3 linked regions of the Sus scrofa genome follow. The protein of the gene in region 2 interacts with the protein of the main gene of each other region in a pairwise test. Links are inferred from orthologs where the notes say so. Each region holds a gene or a part of one and is shown on either strand. Other genes may lie near its edges.

The links. The genes of interacting proteins can lie anywhere in the genome.
Region 1: the proteins of ubiquitin-conjugating enzyme E2 E1 (region 2) and ZNRF2 interact in a two-hybrid assay, tested with the Homo sapiens proteins (2 studies listed by BioGRID). The link is inferred for Sus scrofa from reciprocal best matches to the Homo sapiens genes UBE2E1 and ZNRF2.
Region 3: the proteins of ubiquitin-conjugating enzyme E2 E1 (region 2) and RNF25 interact in binary tests that used the Homo sapiens proteins (3 or more experiments, as listed by UniProt). The link is inferred for Sus scrofa from reciprocal best matches to the Homo sapiens genes UBE2E1 and RNF25.

What each region holds. Positions count from the first base shown.
Region 1 is NC_010460.4:42,559,832-42,565,602, reverse strand, and holds part of ZNRF2 (E3 ubiquitin-protein ligase ZNRF2), read left to right. Parts: intron 1-2,750; coding exon 2,751-2,856; intron 2,857-5,771. UniProt on the Homo sapiens protein: E3 ubiquitin-protein ligase that plays a role in the establishment and maintenance of neuronal transmission and plasticity. Ubiquitinates the Na(+)/K(+) ATPase alpha-1 subunit/ATP1A1 and thereby influences its endocytosis and/or degradation.
Region 2 is NC_010455.5:10,680,166-10,685,178, forward strand, and holds the end of ubiquitin-conjugating enzyme E2 E1, read left to right. Parts: intron 1-1,717; coding exon 1,718-1,865; intron 1,866-2,859; coding exon 2,860-2,957; 3' UTR 2,958-3,654; downstream 3,655-5,013. UniProt on the Homo sapiens protein: Accepts ubiquitin from the E1 complex and catalyzes its covalent attachment to other proteins. Catalyzes the covalent attachment of ISG15 to other proteins. Mediates the selective degradation of short-lived and abnormal proteins.
Region 3 is NC_010457.5:120,712,675-120,717,461, reverse strand, and holds part of RNF25 (E3 ubiquitin-protein ligase RNF25), read left to right. Parts: intron 1-743; coding exon 744-818; intron 819-1,057; coding exon 1,058-1,160; intron 1,161-1,252; coding exon 1,253-1,320; intron 1,321-1,424; coding exon 1,425-1,494; intron 1,495-3,215; coding exon 3,216-3,287; intron 3,288-3,369; coding exon 3,370-3,513; intron 3,514-3,870; coding exon 3,871-3,963; intron 3,964-4,232; coding exon 4,233-4,367; intron 4,368-4,571; coding exon 4,572-4,787. UniProt on the Homo sapiens protein: E3 ubiquitin-protein ligase that plays a key role in the RNF14-RNF25 translation quality control pathway, a pathway that takes place when a ribosome has stalled during translation, and which promotes ubiquitination and degradation of translation factors on stalled ribosomes.

The DNA of each region.
Region 1 (5,771 bases), on a different chromosome or scaffold from region 2:
TGGATTTGTCTTTGTTACGCTGTAAATTAATTAATTCTCATAAACTGGATAAAACCAAGGCTTTTTAAGATACTAAAAATTCCCAACTCAAAGATTTTTAAAACAAACCTCTTGCAATAAAGAAACAAGAGTTGATAGTCATAGGTCAACATAAAAGTATTATAAGACACTTATTTTTCTGTGAATGAATGAATTCAGAAGCTTGTAGTATGTAATAGATTTCTACCTATTTGTGTATGGTTGAGGCTCTGTTACATAGACTTGTATGGCAAAAATGTGGCAGTACTTTGTATTTTTTGAAAGCTGGTCTGTCTCACTGATTTATGATAATTGAGGTTTTATGGTTCATTTAGATTTAAATCTATATGCATTGTTAATGTATTCCAAGAGGAAGAAAATTTGATACCCTCTCCCATCAATTCTAGGACATACTTCTTTTTAAAAATTTTTAATAGCTATAGAAAGTGAGATATCTTAAAATTGATTTATATATGGAAGCCTTTTTTCTGGGAATATTAAACTAGTGGTGCATCTTATTATCATTTATGTCTTAGACTTGATAAAAAGTAATGGTTAATTTTTTAAAGTTAGTTGTAAGACTTAGATTCGTATTATGATGTTGGATATCGTTGTGGTGAAAAAACGTAAGTGGTGAGAATATGCCATATTATTTGGAATTAGAGACTTGTACTGTGGTGTTTTAGTGTTTGCTTCAGACTTTTGTTTTCATTGCTGTTATCCTAATGTCAAATGACAAAACCTAAAAAAATTTAAGTTTGATGCCCTTTATTCAGGAGAAAACAGTCCATAGATTGGAAGACTACAGTGCTCAGCAAGCACTTCTCCAGGGGATTTTGGGCAAGAGTGAATTTTATGGGACCTTAGACGAGGCACCACAGAAACAGGACATGATTGGCCAGAAGAATAGGGGTTTCCTTCTAAGGCTTAGCAGGTCCTGTTTTGGGGGGCAAGGTAAAGCTAGCCAAAGCTGAGTTGGAGCATCGTGAATGGTGTTAAGTTTCCTCGACAGTGAGGTGTTCTCCGTAAGTGCAGGGTGACTGTGCTACAGATTTGTGATGTGGTCGGGGCCACTGGAATGACTCCCGTTTTGTGGGTTCCAGTGTACCAGTTAATTTCAGCACTAGTTAGGTGTGTTACCTTAAACTAGTTCCCCATCTGTGGAAAGCTATCCAGAACAGTAATAGAAAAATGTAGGTCAAAAGAAGGAGGAAAGTTGCAGTTGGGGCAGGGGTAGTGGTTGGGATCTCCAGGATCCAGAAAAGAAAAATGGGGAAAGGACTTTTGAGGGGGTGTTAATTAATAAAGAGCACTTTTCACTTATCCAGTTATACTTGCCCAGAAATCTTTTTCTGGATAAGTCTGATGTGATATATTAGTTTGTGAGCTACCCAGTAGTTAGCTAAAATCACTTTAACCATATTCCCCAGATCTGAAAGCATAAACCTTCTTGCCGAGGCCTCTCTTTTTCCGGTGAAAGTTGCTCTGGTACCCCCTCTAGCCTTATGGGTAAACATCTGCTGATACTTTCCCTTTTATAGACCAAATAGAGTCTGTGTTTCCTCTTAATGTGCTGTCTCAAAATGAATAGAATGGACTTTCTACAAGGAACTATTACAGATATGTGCACGATGAAATTTGTTGGTTTTAGCAGCAGGTGTGGAACCACCAGACAAATAATTTTAGGAAACTTTCCTACCTTGATCTGTGTTTTAAGTATTTAGATAAAGATTGATTTAGTCTTTCTCCTTAGCTTGTTTGATTTTTCACTTCCCAAAACAGTAACATGTCTATTTGTGGTATAAATTTATATTGCATGTTCCTGCTTTTGTTTTTCATTCTCACAACTCATCGAGACTGTATACTGTCGAGCAGTTTCTCCATGCTCTACAGTAACGGCATTGTTTTAGTTATTCCTCATTTAAAAAGAGTCACAAAGCTTACTCTGTTGTTACACAAGATCCTTTTAAAAATTAAAATTTAACATTAATAAAACAATTTAAAATTTCGGTGTAAAACATAAATTGAGAGAACTTTTTTTCGAAAGGAATCTTTGCTTTATAAGGAATTTCACAACAGTTATTTTAAACACTTTGTTCAGGGCCTTCTGAAAATAAGTCTCGTGAGTACGTGGATTAGGCTTGGCATTGTCATGGAAAAGGATTAAGGAGAATTGTTCAGTCCACTGTCTGGAATCCTCAACTTTCCAAAAGTCCCTTTCAGAATCTACATAAAAGCTTTGAGCTACTTTTGCATTTTCTTGAATTAAGCAGATTTTTTTAAAGTTTAATATTCGGGGTGATTTCTATAACTTACATGATTTTATTTTAGAATTTTAAAAATTCATGATAGTATTGTTTTTTTCTGCCGTGTTCTATTTTATACACTTTTTTGAACTAGCTTGGGCACCAAATTAATACTGATTAGTAGGATAAGGAAAATAAATTACAAATAACTGACTTACCAATAAAGTTTGATAGCAAAGTCCTTTGCAAGTAGGAGGATTCTGTGCACTTCTTCCTTACTGTAATGCCTCAGGGAAATTTAAACGGAAGTGAAAGACACTGTCCATAATAAAGGTAAATATTAGTCGTTGATTATGAGTAGTTTATCAGTTGTAGGTGCTGAGTTCTATGTATTTTAACAGAATATACCAGTTACCCCTTTTTATAAATTACCATCCACATAATTCTTTCAGTTCTATTACCCTAAATTCTTTTCTCTTTTCTCAGAGGATGTACTGAGTAAAGATGCTGGGGAATGTTCAATATGCCTTGAAGAGTTGCAGCAGGGAGATACGATAGCACGACTGCCTTGTCTATGCATATATCATAAAGGGTAAGTTTAATTTTATGGTAATAACCAAGTTGATCTTAGACTAAAAGACCTAAGTTTCAGACATTGTAGCTAGGGCTCAAAAGGTTTTTTTTTTTCCCTTAATTTAAACTCTCTTTCCCCATTTCTTAAAGAATAATGGCCTTTTTTCCTTATAGTACTACAGTTTAAGCCCGCATCTGTTTGGATCCTAAAGTCTATCATTTATTCAGCATTTACTCTGATCCAGGTGTTGTCCATCACTTCTTAAATAGGTTATTTTATGTAAGCCTCATAACAGTCTGACTTCACAGTTGAAGGAATAAGCTGGGGGACCGACCATAGGCAACATCTGCAAGGTTACATGGTTAATAGTAAATGGAAGAACTGGGATTCCAGCCGTGTCTCTTTGACTCCAGAGCCCATCTGGTTCTTATAAAGTGTTGTTGGTTGCAGAACAACATGGAAAAAACTTAGGTAAAAAGATGATTTAAGGTAACGTACAAAAAGAATGGAAAACTATAACTTTAAAGTCAAGAAAAGGAAGAAGGTGGAATTTTGTTTAAAAGCAGGGCATGGAGATTGGGGCAGACATAAAGAAAACAGTAAACAGTACCAAGAAACAAAGAGGCAAAAGTAAATTCAGTATCGGCAGTTAGAATAAATCCAAACTCACCACTTGAAAACAAAAGATTGGGATGTGCTATTGATGAGCAACACACTTAAACATAAGGGATATAGAGAAATAAGGAAACAAAAGGATAGAAAACTATATCCAGGCAAATATTAACTAAAAACTGACAAAGCAAATTAATATTGGACAAAACTAACTCTATTGTAAAAGGTATTATTGGTACAATATGGTGATAAAAGCTTATAAAATGTAGTTCTTTGTGTACCAAATAACACAATCTCAAAGTAAAATATTTATGGAACTGTCAGAAAAAAATTGAATCTGTCATGATGATGGGAAATGTCAGCATATTTCTCATTGAGTCAATCAGACGTACGCAAAATTAGTTAAGACCTAGGAAAATTGCTCAATACAGTTAACAGTTTGGATCTAATGGATGTGTATGTGTGTACATGCACCCAGCAACTAGAGAGTCCATTTTCTTTTCAAGTACATAGAAAGTATTATAGAAATTGATCATGTACTTGGCAATAAAGAGTTTTAGCAGGAGTTCCCATCGTGGTTCAGTGAAAATGAATCTGACTAGGAACCATGAGGTTGCAGGTTCGATCCTTGGCCTTGCTCAGTGGATTAAGGATCTGGCATTGCTGTGAGCTGTGCTGTAGGTCGCAGACGTGGCTCTGATCAGGCATTGCTGTGTCTGTGGTGTAGGCCGGCAGCTGTAGCTCCAATTCGACCCCTGGCCTGGGAACCTCTATATGCCGCGGGTGTGGCCCTGAAAAGACAAAACAAAAACAGAAACAAACTAATTAAAAACAGGCCTACAGATGACAGTTTGACAGCAAGTTCTACCAGATACGCAAATAATACCATGTTGACGATCATAAATTCCCCCCAAAGTAGAAGATAAAAGATTCTCCCACTTATTTTATAGACTAGCATAAACTTGATACCCATATCAGACAAGGATAGTGTTAAGAAAAGAAAATTAAAAGACACTTTATTTGTGAACATAAACACAAAATCCAAAAACATATTGGCAAACCAAATTCATCAGTATATATTTAAAAGAATGCCTCTTGACCAAATTGGATTTATGCTAGGAATACGAAGACATTGTAAGAATAGAAAATTTAAGCAACATCTTCTCAGATCCACCTCTTAGAGTATTGACAATAAAAACAAAAATAAGCAAATGGGACCTAATCAAACTTCAAAGTTTCTGCACAGCAAAGGAAACCCTAAACAACACGAAAAGACAACCCACAGAATGGGAGAAAATCTTTGCAAGTGAATCGACTGACAAGGAATTAATCTCCAAAATTTATGAACACCTTCTGCAGCTCAACAACAAAAAAACAAACAACCCCATCAAAAAATGGGCAGAAGATCTAAACAGACAGTTCTCCAAAGAAGACATACAGATGGCAGAGAAACACATGAAAAGATGTTCAACATCACTCATTAGTAGAGAAATGCAAATCAAAACCACTCTGAGGTACCACCTTACACCAGCCAGAATGGCCATCACCCAAAAGTCTACAAACAATAAGTGCTGGAGAGGGTGTGGAGAAAAAGGAACCCTAGTACACTGTTGGTGGGATTGTAAATTGGTGCAATCACTGTGGAAAGCAGTATGCAGATTCCTCAGAAAACTAAAAATAGAACTACCATTTGACACAGCCATCCCCCTCCTGGGCATCTATCCAGAGAAAACCACAACTCGCAAAGACACATGTACTCTGATGTTCACTGCAGCATTCTTCTCAATAGCCAAGACATGGAAACAATCTCAATGTCCATTGACAGAGGAGTGGATCAAGAAGATGTGGGACATATGCACAATGGAATATTACTCAGCCATTAAAAAGAATGAAATACTGGCATTTTTAGCAATATGGATGGACCTAGAAACTATCATGCTAAGTGAAGTCAGCCATACAATGAGACACCAACATCAAATGCTTTCAATGACATGTGGAATCTGAAAAAAGGACAGACGGAACTTTGCAGAACAGATGCTGACTCACAGACATAGAAAAACTTATGGTCTCCGGAGGAGACAGTTTGGGGGGTGGGGGGATGTGCTTGGGCTGTGGGATGGAAATCCTGTGAAATCAGATTGTTATGATCATTATACAACTACAGATGTGATAAATTCATTTGAGTAATAAAAAAAAAGAATAGAAAATTTATATGTCATAATGCACCATGTTGACAAGGGAGCAAGACTATATTCACTTAATAAATTCTGTATTTATTATCAATAACTTAAAGACAATAAATATTAGATAATTATTAAAGT
Region 2 (5,013 bases):
ATTTTTGTTGTTTTAGGGCTGCATTTGCAGCAAATGGAGGTTCCCAGGCTAGGGGTCTAATTGGAGCTGCAGCTGCCAGCCTACGCCACTGTCACAGCAACGCCAGATCCAAGCTGTGTCTGCAACTTACACCACAGGTCACGGCAATGCTGGATCCTTAACCTACTGAGCAAGGGCAGGGATTACACTGGCATCCTCATGGATTTTAGTTGGGTTCATTACCCATGAGCCACGACAGGAACTCCCAAGTTCTCTTATCTCTTGACAAATCTCTAAATACATTTGAACATACACAAAACGCTTCTTTGGGTTGACTTTGCCTCATTTGGCAGAGACCATTAAGACTAAGTGCTTTGTTTAAAATCCTGCTCATAGTCAGCAACCCACAAATAATCCCCTTTCCTTTGCAAAGACATTTTTTGAACAGATGAAAATGTTGTCAGAATATCCATGCACTAAAATAGAGAATCAGAAACTCCTGGCAGACAAAGCCTTGGATTCTGTTCCTCATCATTTTCCTGTCTCATGAAATCCTTACCCAGCTTTGAGTTTCTCATCTAGGTTAGGAGGGGACTGCTCCAGTCACTCTTCTGCAGCACACTGTGATTCTCACAGTCAGAAGGAAAACCTCCTCTTGGGGATAGGGTACCCCTGAATAAAGGTGCAGTGGCAGCTGCAAGAAGTGATTAAAAGTCTGCCATTTTTTAAAAAGTGGTAATGTTTTAGGTTACTTTTACTTTGGAATGATTCAGTGTATCACAAATAACAGTTGGAAGACCATACGAAATAACCCAGGCTCATGTGCCTTTATGTTGATTTGCCCATTGCTGTCTGTGGTCCTTACCATTTCTGGTTCCTCACCTGTGGAGATGCCAGTAGAGTGAATTCTGTGCTTTGAGTCAGGCAAGATAGCTGCATGGTCTGATTTAAAGGTGAGAAAAAGAAGAAACACCTCTTCAAGTGGATATTTCAGCTTTTAGGGTATGTGATCATTGTTTGCTAAGCACTTTGTCTTTATGGACCCACTGGTTGTTCTTCTTTTGGATTATGACTTTAAAGCTTGCTTTGGAGCCATGTAGTACTACCAGCTAACACTAGAGGTCAGCAAACAATTAGCTATTCAAACTGGAAGCATTAGGAAGATATTTAAAACATTAAAACCGCTAAAGATGAAATCCAGAAATACTGAAGTTACCTTGCCTTTTGTTGATGGATATTATTTTTAAATGAAATTGAAAATCCCTGAGAGTGTTATCAATGCACACTTGGTAATCTCAATTTTAATAGTCTCTGTTGTGGCTCAGCAGAAACAAACCCTGCTAGTATCCATAAGGATGCAGGTTCAATCTCTGGCCTTGCTTTAGTGGGCCAGGGATCCGGCATTGCCTCGAGCTGTAGCTCTCAAGACATGGCTCAGATCCCACGTTGCTGTGGCTGTGGTGTAGGCAGTGGCCACAGCTCTGATTCAACCCCTAGCCTGAGAACTTCCATATGCCACGCAGGTGCAGCCCTAAAAAGAAAAAAAAGGAAAAAAGTCTCTAACTTGTTTCTTATCAGCCTTAATTAGTTAAACTGTTAACTGTGTTTACTTTTTTAAAAATTAAGCGTGTATTTCTTTAGAAGTTTTAATCAGGGCAATTTAAACTGAAAAGGTAATTTAGTAAAAAGTTACGTTGCTGGCTGTTTAAATTTTATTTAACAGTGCCTTATATTTTAGGTTACATTTCGGACAAGAATCTATCACTGTAATATTAACAGTCAAGGAGTTATTTGCTTGGACATATTGAAAGATAATTGGAGCCCAGCCCTCACCATCTCTAAAGTTCTTCTTTCTATCTGCTCACTTCTTACAGACTGTAATCCTGGTAAGGTTAATAATTCTTTACCTTATTTTACTCCTCCTCAAGAAAAAGTTCAGATTTTATTTTTGTACAAGCTTTCAAAGGACAAAACCTGGTTGGTTTTCAAAGGAATGTGTAATCCAGAGTTCAGTCTAAGCTGAGGACTTAATATAAGACCTATAATGTTAGGTTTTAACATTTTCAGTCTTTCACTCTCCTCCCCCCTCTTTTGCCTGTTTCCCAAAGAGTTCTCTTAAAACAACCGCATACTTGGAAATGTTGAGTTACCTGCCCCAGTAGCCTCACCACTGCCTGTGAGTCGATAGCTGCTCACTAAAGTGGCGGTCAGTTCTGAGATTTTTTCTCTGCTATAAACTTAGACAGTGGGAGGTGGGGGCGGGGGGCAGAGTGGCAGGGAGGCTTAATTTCCTCTTACTAAAACTTTTTCCCCTAGATAAACCAAATATAAATTATTAAAATTCTGTTGAGTTTCAGAGAAATACTAAACTTAGTGAAAGTTTGGCCCTTTCTAGGCAAATAGCATAGAGGTAACTAGTGTTGTATTGCAATAGCCTTGAGGACATCGCAGTATTCAGTGTCATAATTGATGCCATTCGCAAAAGGTCACGTGAATACAGCTGATGTTCACCGTAGTCTAGGGCCTCGAACATTCCGTACCCTAACATGTAAGAGCAAAACCCTCCAGTGTGGGGGTGCGGGTTGGGGAATCATTGTTGGACACGAAATGGAGTGAGGAAGGAGATGAACCCAGACCAGTGCTGAAGCGTGTACACTCTGTTTGGATTAGGATAGCCCCCTGCACACATGCTGGGCTTTTTTGTGTGCTTTTTTCTCCCCACATGCTGGTTTTTAAAGTCTAGAAGGAAAACTATCCAGAATGGAGTGGTTTGATCACAACTGCTTTTACATTTCTTCCCGAGCATGTCGCTAACTTATTTGCTAAAACTTAAAGTGTTCTTGCTCTTTCTTCAAAGTAATCTACATTCTTTTCTTCCAGCCGACCCCTTGGTGGGAAGTATTGCCACTCAGTATATGACCAACAGAGCAGAACATGACAGAATGGCCAGACAGTGGACCAAGAGATACGCTACATAAATTGGGTTTTCACAATTCTTTACATTATTTGTCTGTCACAGAGAGCTGCTTATGATTTTGAAGGGGTGGGGGAGGGTGGGAGTTGGTAAAGAGTAGGGTATTTCTATAACAGATATTATTCAGTTTTATTTCCTAAGATTTTGTTGTAACTTAAGGTATCTTGCTACAGTAGACAGAATTGGTAATAGCAACTTTTAAAACTGTCATTAGTTCTGCAATATTAGCTGAAATGCAATACAGAGAATAGATATTTGGGTTCAGTTGCTTGTAGTCTGTAAATTTAAAAACAGCTTAATTTTTTACAGGTTACACACACAGGGCCATTTATGTAAAGTCCTTCAAGACTACACACGTTTTTGTTTAAAAAAAATTGGAATCTGTTTTCCCTTCTTGTAAGGGAACGTTGATATTTAACAGCTTTTAGAGACTGTCATCTCATATATAGAAAATGGACGTGTAACTCTAAGACACCACGTAGGAAATGAGTAGTTATATATTTTATTTTATATGCCAATCTACTTTATTGTGAAAAGGTAGAGGTTTGAATCAGGACCTGTAAAACCTGTAGTAAAATACCTTAAGCTGTTAACTGTAAGGCGTGGACTAGGAGTTGCCCAGTGGATTGGTTATATGTTGTGGACTACTTAAGTCTGCATTTGTTACTGTGCTAATAAACAATATTAAAACGACCACCTAACACTGTCTTCTTTTACTTTCTATTTCTTACTTTGTACTTTCTTTTTCTTTTTTTTTTTTTTTTTTTTTTTTTTTTTGCTTTTTATGGCCACATCTGCAACACATGGAAGTTACCAGGTTAGGGGTCAAATCAGAGCTATAGCGCCATCCTGCACCACAGCCACAGCAAGGCCAGATCCAAGCTGCATCTTCAACCTACCGCAGCTCACTGCAATGCCGGATCCTTAACCCACTGAGCAAGGCCAGGGATGGAACCTGCATCCTCATGGATACTAGTCGGGTCCGTTATCACTGCACCACAACGGGAACTCCTGTAGTTTTTCTTCTTGATAGGTCTTTGCTACTAAAGCAATAGAGAGGTAATGCAGACTGAATACTCTGGTACTGTTTATCCAGCACCTGTGTTAGGATTGGTACTCTTAGTTTATCCAGTAGCCCTGCAGGGTAGATTTTGAGGTGTCTTAGAAGAAGTTTAATAATCTAACTCACTGTCTTTCAAGACAGAGTTCTATTGCATCTTTTTAAAAGCATTTTCCAGTGTGCAGATGCTGTGGTGGTAGTACACAGGAAGTGAGTTCTCTTGGAGAAGTACTACAGCCCCATCAGAGGGCATTCAGGCAGTAGCTCCATGTATATGCCTGTCCACTCACCCCAGGCCAGTGTGAGGGTGCATACACATTCACTGAGCATTTAAAAAGAATATGGGAGGAGTTGCCGTCATGGTGCAGCAGAAACGAATCCGACCAGGAACCGTGAGGTTGCAGGTTAGATCCCTGGCCTTGCTCAGTGGGTTAAGGATCTGGCCATGAGGTGAGCTGTGGTGTAGGTCACAGACGTGACTCGGGTCTGGCCTTGCTGTGGCTGTGGTGTAGGCTGGCAGCTTGTAGCTCTGATGAGACTCCTACCTGGGAACCTCCATATGATGCCGGTGCAGCCCTAAAAAGCAAAAAAATAGAATATGGGCATTCCCGTCGTGGCTCAGTGGAAATGAATCTGACTAGCATCTGTGAGGACACAACTTCGATCCCTGGCCTCACTCACTGGGTTAAGGACCCAGTGTTCCATGAGCTGTGGTGTAGGTTGAAGACCTGGCTCAGATCTGGCGTTGCTGTCGCTGTGGTGTAGGTCACAGATGTGGCTTGGATCTGGTGTTGCTGTGACTGGTGGCTACAGCTCCAATTTGACCCCTAGCCTGGAAACCTCCATATGCTTCAGGTGGGGCCCTAAAATTAATTAATAAAAAGAATATGGTCTAGGCTGCATTCAGTAGAGGAGCAGACTGCAAGATCTAGTCTATTATTTTTATAATTGTAAAACTATCCATGTTAAAAACCTAAAAGATAAATACTCAGTAACTGGG
Region 3 (4,787 bases), on a different chromosome or scaffold from region 2:
ACTATGGCCAAGATACTATTTTACTTTACGTAAACCAATCACCTTTCATCACAATAACCCTGGAGAGTAGGTGGTGATATCTGTATGTGGTGGACAGGGTAGTTCAGGCTTACAGGTATAAATAACTACTCAGATCACGTAGCTGGCAAGTGATTGGTACCTATTACTGATTCCAAGACTGATGGCTTTTCCGCTAGAGCACAGCCTTTATACCACATAGCTCTGTTCTGTTCAGGTGGGTCTCTCCTTTGAGGAGGTTAATGGTGACTGGTATTGGCAGTGTGCATAGATAGACACTGGGATCCATGAACAGCAGCGTAGGGAAGGCCAGGTATTAGTAGCCTTAATTCTCATCAATGGACATCATATTTTTGAGTTAGAGAACTGACCCCAAAGGAACAACCCACAGTGTGATGAAACCTAAACAGGGAGTCGAGAAACCTAGGCCCGGTCCCAGTTCTGCCTTTGTTAAGACTGGAGATCTGGGCTAGTCATTTCACCCTCTTGGGACTCTGTTTCGTCATCTGTTGGCAGAAATGATCTCCAAAACTCTGATTCCCATGCTTCCTACCTGGCCATTTGACAGCTTAAGGAAACGTTTCCCCCATCTGTCTTTATGGAGGTTAACAAGAGAGTGCACTCAGGCCGATTGCCATTTTTCTGCAGAGCCAGTCTTCAGTGGCCTTGGTGGGGTTTAACAGGGAGAGCTGTCATGGTGAGTCAGTCTCCCCCTGTCTCTCTAGGGTCCTTCCCTCTGAAGTTGAAGTGTTAGAGTCAATCTACCTGGATGAACTACAGGTGGTTAAAGGAAATAGCAGGTATGTATTTAACTAGAGGTGGGCAGGAGTCCCCTTGGGAAGGAGAGGACTCCATGAAGTATCTGAGTGCCTGGATTCAGATATTTCTGTCATGTAGACAAAGACTATTCCTTTAATGCCCCCCAAGAAAGAGCCCGATGCTTACTTCCTCTGGCCGCTTTCCTTTCTCACCACCATCCTCCCCAGCCCTCAAGCCCCTGCCCAGTCACATCCCAGGTCTCCACTCCATCCACCTGCAGATCGTCACCGTGGGAGATCTCCATCACCCTGCACCCCGCCACTGCCGAAGACCAGGATTCGCAGTATGTCTGCTTCACTCTGGTGCTTCAGGTTCCAGCACAGGTGAGGCCTCGACTTTATGGCAACAATGGGAGGCAGGGGAGAGGCCCCAGGGTGAAGTGCTTTGGCAGTAACTTGTCACTTTCTCCTCTTAGTATCCCCATGAGGTGCCACAGATCTCTATCCGTAACCCCCGAGGACTCTCAGATGAACAGATCCACAAGTAGGTCGGGCTGGTCAGCGCAGGGGAAGCTTGGGATACAGCCCAGTCTGGTGAGGGCAGGCGGCAGGCCTAATGTTTGCGTTGCTGTCTCTCTCTCTCTCCAGGATCTCACAGGCGCTGAGCCATGTGGCTGAGGCTGGACTGGGTACGGCCATGCTCTATGAGCTCATCGAGGTGAGAAGTGTGTTAGAAAAAGTCCTTCCCTTCCAGCGAGAGCAGTTTCTTTCAAGGGAGACCATGGGCCTGGACTCCACCACATCTGGAGACATTCATTTAATTATTGTTTAGGTAAAGCCTCAACTGATCCAGAGACATGAAATGCTCTTCTGTTACAAAAAGTCTCCCCGAAAGACAGTTCTTTCGCTTTGCCAAGTTAACTATTCCAGCATCTTTTTGAAGTTTTAGTGAAATATAGTTGGTTTACAGGGTTGTGATAACTTTTGCTGTATATTCCAGCATCTTGACAGAAAATTACTTCTCCTCTTTGACTTGCATCTTTTCTTGCTGCAGTGTCAGTGCATTTCTTGTTCTCTTGGCGTTGGCAGCTGAAAGTAGTAAGAGATCTTGCCTAGAGCTTCTAGCCATAAGTGAACACTTGACCTTGGTTCAGCTGGACCTTGGCTACAGGGTCTAGCCGTAAATGAACATTTGGAGGCTAGTTGGCCATTGGCCAACTAGAAGGTCTTGGTTCTTTTACTCAGAGAACCCTAGTGAAGGAAACGACCCACAGGAAACCATACCTAGAGCTCTGAGTTAAAATACACAGGTAACGTTGGTTGTTTGAGATCAGAAAATACAAATACAGTCTTGTTTTCCTCTGCGTTTTTGAGAAGATATGCAGAAAAGAATGAAGGTGGGCGGCCTGGAGTCCAAGTGGGCAAAGACCACTGTAGCGCTTCTGAGTCAGGCCTCCACAATGCAGCTTTGAACTTGGTGGAATTCCAGAGTATTAGCTATTCAAACAGTATCGCAGATGCATATTTCATAGCTCAGCCCAATGCCTTGTGAATTCTCTGTCCGTTTGGGGTGTCAGTGCCTTCACTTTCTTTCTGAAAGCTGACTCCAGAGCAGGGGGATAACCCGGAAAGTCCTCCCAGAGGATATGAGTTTTATTTGAACATTTTTTTTTCTCTCTAAGGTGTTGTATTTCCATCCCCAAGATGTATAAACGGTGACTTAATGAGTAGGAAAACAATGAAACTGGATTTTGCAGCTGGGCAGATTTGGGGGGAGGGCGAGGATGTGGAAGAGGATTAATTCCAAGCAGAGGGAGATCACCAAGACAGAAATAGGAGTTCCTATCGTGGCTCAGTGGTTAAAGAACCCAGCTAGGATCCATGAGGATGCCAGTTCGATGCCTGGCTTCGCTCAGTGGGTTAAGGATCTGGCATTGCCATGAGCTGTGGTGTAGGCCGGTAACTACAGCTCCAATTGGACCCTTGCCTGGGAACCTCCATGTGCCAACGGGTTCAGCCCTTAAAAAAAAAAAGAAAGAAAGAAAGAAAGAAAAATCAAAACAGAAATGCATGAACACGGGGAGTTCCCATTGTGGCTCAGCCTGTTAAGAACCCAACTAGTATCCATGAGGATGCAGGTTTGATTCCTGGCCTCGCTCAGTAGGTTAAGGATCCGGTGTTGCTGTGTAGGTTGCAGATGCAGCTCAGATCCTTTTTTGCTGTGGCTGTGGTGTAGGCCGGCAGCTGCGGCTCTGATTTGACCCCTAGCCCAGGAACTTCCATGTGCCGCAGTTGCGGCCCTAAAGAAAAAGAATCGTGTGAACGTGAGATAAATTGGCTTGGTGGGAACAGTCCAGCAGGTCACTGCTGGGAGAATGAGCTTTGCTCATAGTTCTGGCTGCCGCCTCCCTGTTTAAACAGTGTCTTCTCTCCCCGCAGAAAGGGAAGGAAATCCTTACAGATAACAACATCCCCCACGGCCAGTGCGTCATCTGCCTCTATGGTTTCCAGGTGGGTTTCTCTCTTGGGACCTGGGGTCTGCTCAGGCCAGTGGAGGGCTCGGGAGAGCTCTGATGCAGTGCCCTCCCTCCAGGAGAAGGAAGCCTTTACCAAAACACCCTGTTACCACTACTTCCACTGCCACTGCCTGGCCCGGTACATCCAGCACATGGAGCACGAGCTGCAGGCCCAGGGACGGGAACAGGAACAGCAACGGCAGCACGCCGCAGCTAAACAGGTCGACCCCGCCGCCCCTTGCTGGCTTGATACGGCCAGCTCGCCTAACCTTTTCTATCCTTCCACTGCCAGGCCTTCTCAGCCTTTTCAGGGTCCTGGGTATCTTGGAGATTAATGAAAGCTCCCCTCTGTCCTGGAACAAGGGCATCCTTATGTGCATGTAACAGTATTGCACGTGGTTTCAGAAGGTTTCCAGACCTCCAGTAGGCAGCCTCTGCTCTGGCCCACCTCACTACCATCAGGTGTGGCTGTGCCATTCTGTCCCAGCTCTCTGTAGGTGAGGCTGGCGGATAGGGTTGGGCAGCTGACAAGTGCCCTGGGCTGGGAAGCAGGCCTGTGATTTCTCCTCTCTTTTCAGAAGGCCGTGGGTGTGCAGTGCCCAGTGTGCAGAGAGCCGCTCGTGTACGATCTCGCCTCACTGAAAGCAGCCCCCGAACCCCAACAGCCCATGGTAAGGAAACCCTCTTAATCTCAGCCAAGAGTAATGGCATCTTGTCTGCTTCGAATAAGATGTCTGGTATTGGGCCCAAGCTACCTGGGCCCTCTCTGCAGAGCCACGGCCCCCACTCGGTGCACACAGCTTTGTTCAGGAGCCCAGTTCTGAGGGATAAAACCAAGAACCTTGAGCCCATCTCCTGAGGCAGTCCTGGAAGAGCAAAGGTTTCAGGTCTGCCTTCTGTTTTATTCTGCCTTCCATGCCCTTCTGCTCCCTTCCCCCAGGAGCTGTACCAACCTGATGCAGAGAGCCTGCGCCAGCAAGCAGAACGCAAGAGGCTGTACCAGAGACAGCAGGAGAGAGGGGGCATCATTGACCTTGAGGCTGAGCGTAACCGGTACTTCATTAGCCTCCAGCAGGTGAGGGAAGGATTTCTCAACCCTCCCCTGATGACACCAACCTTCCTACCAACACACCCCTCTGCCACCGGCCTCGGGTGAGCTTTGTTCTGCTCTGGGAGGATAGGGCCGATAGTGGTTGGCTCAGATTCTGAGCAAGGGGCCCGCAGTTCCCCGCTTTGAGGAACTGCATCTCCTTCACTGCATCTGCTCAATTCCTTCTAGCCTCCTGCCCCTTTGGAACCTGAGTCAGCTGTAGATGCCTCTAGAGGATCCCACCCACCCAGTGCCCTTGCCACAGAACCATCCATCTCATCAACTGCTCAAACCACCCTGTCACCTCCTCTGCCTGTGACCTCCCAGTACACGTGTGAGAAGATTCCAGGGCTTGGGCCAAATCAGCAAAAGCTGGGCGAGACCCAGAGAGCTATGCCAGAACCC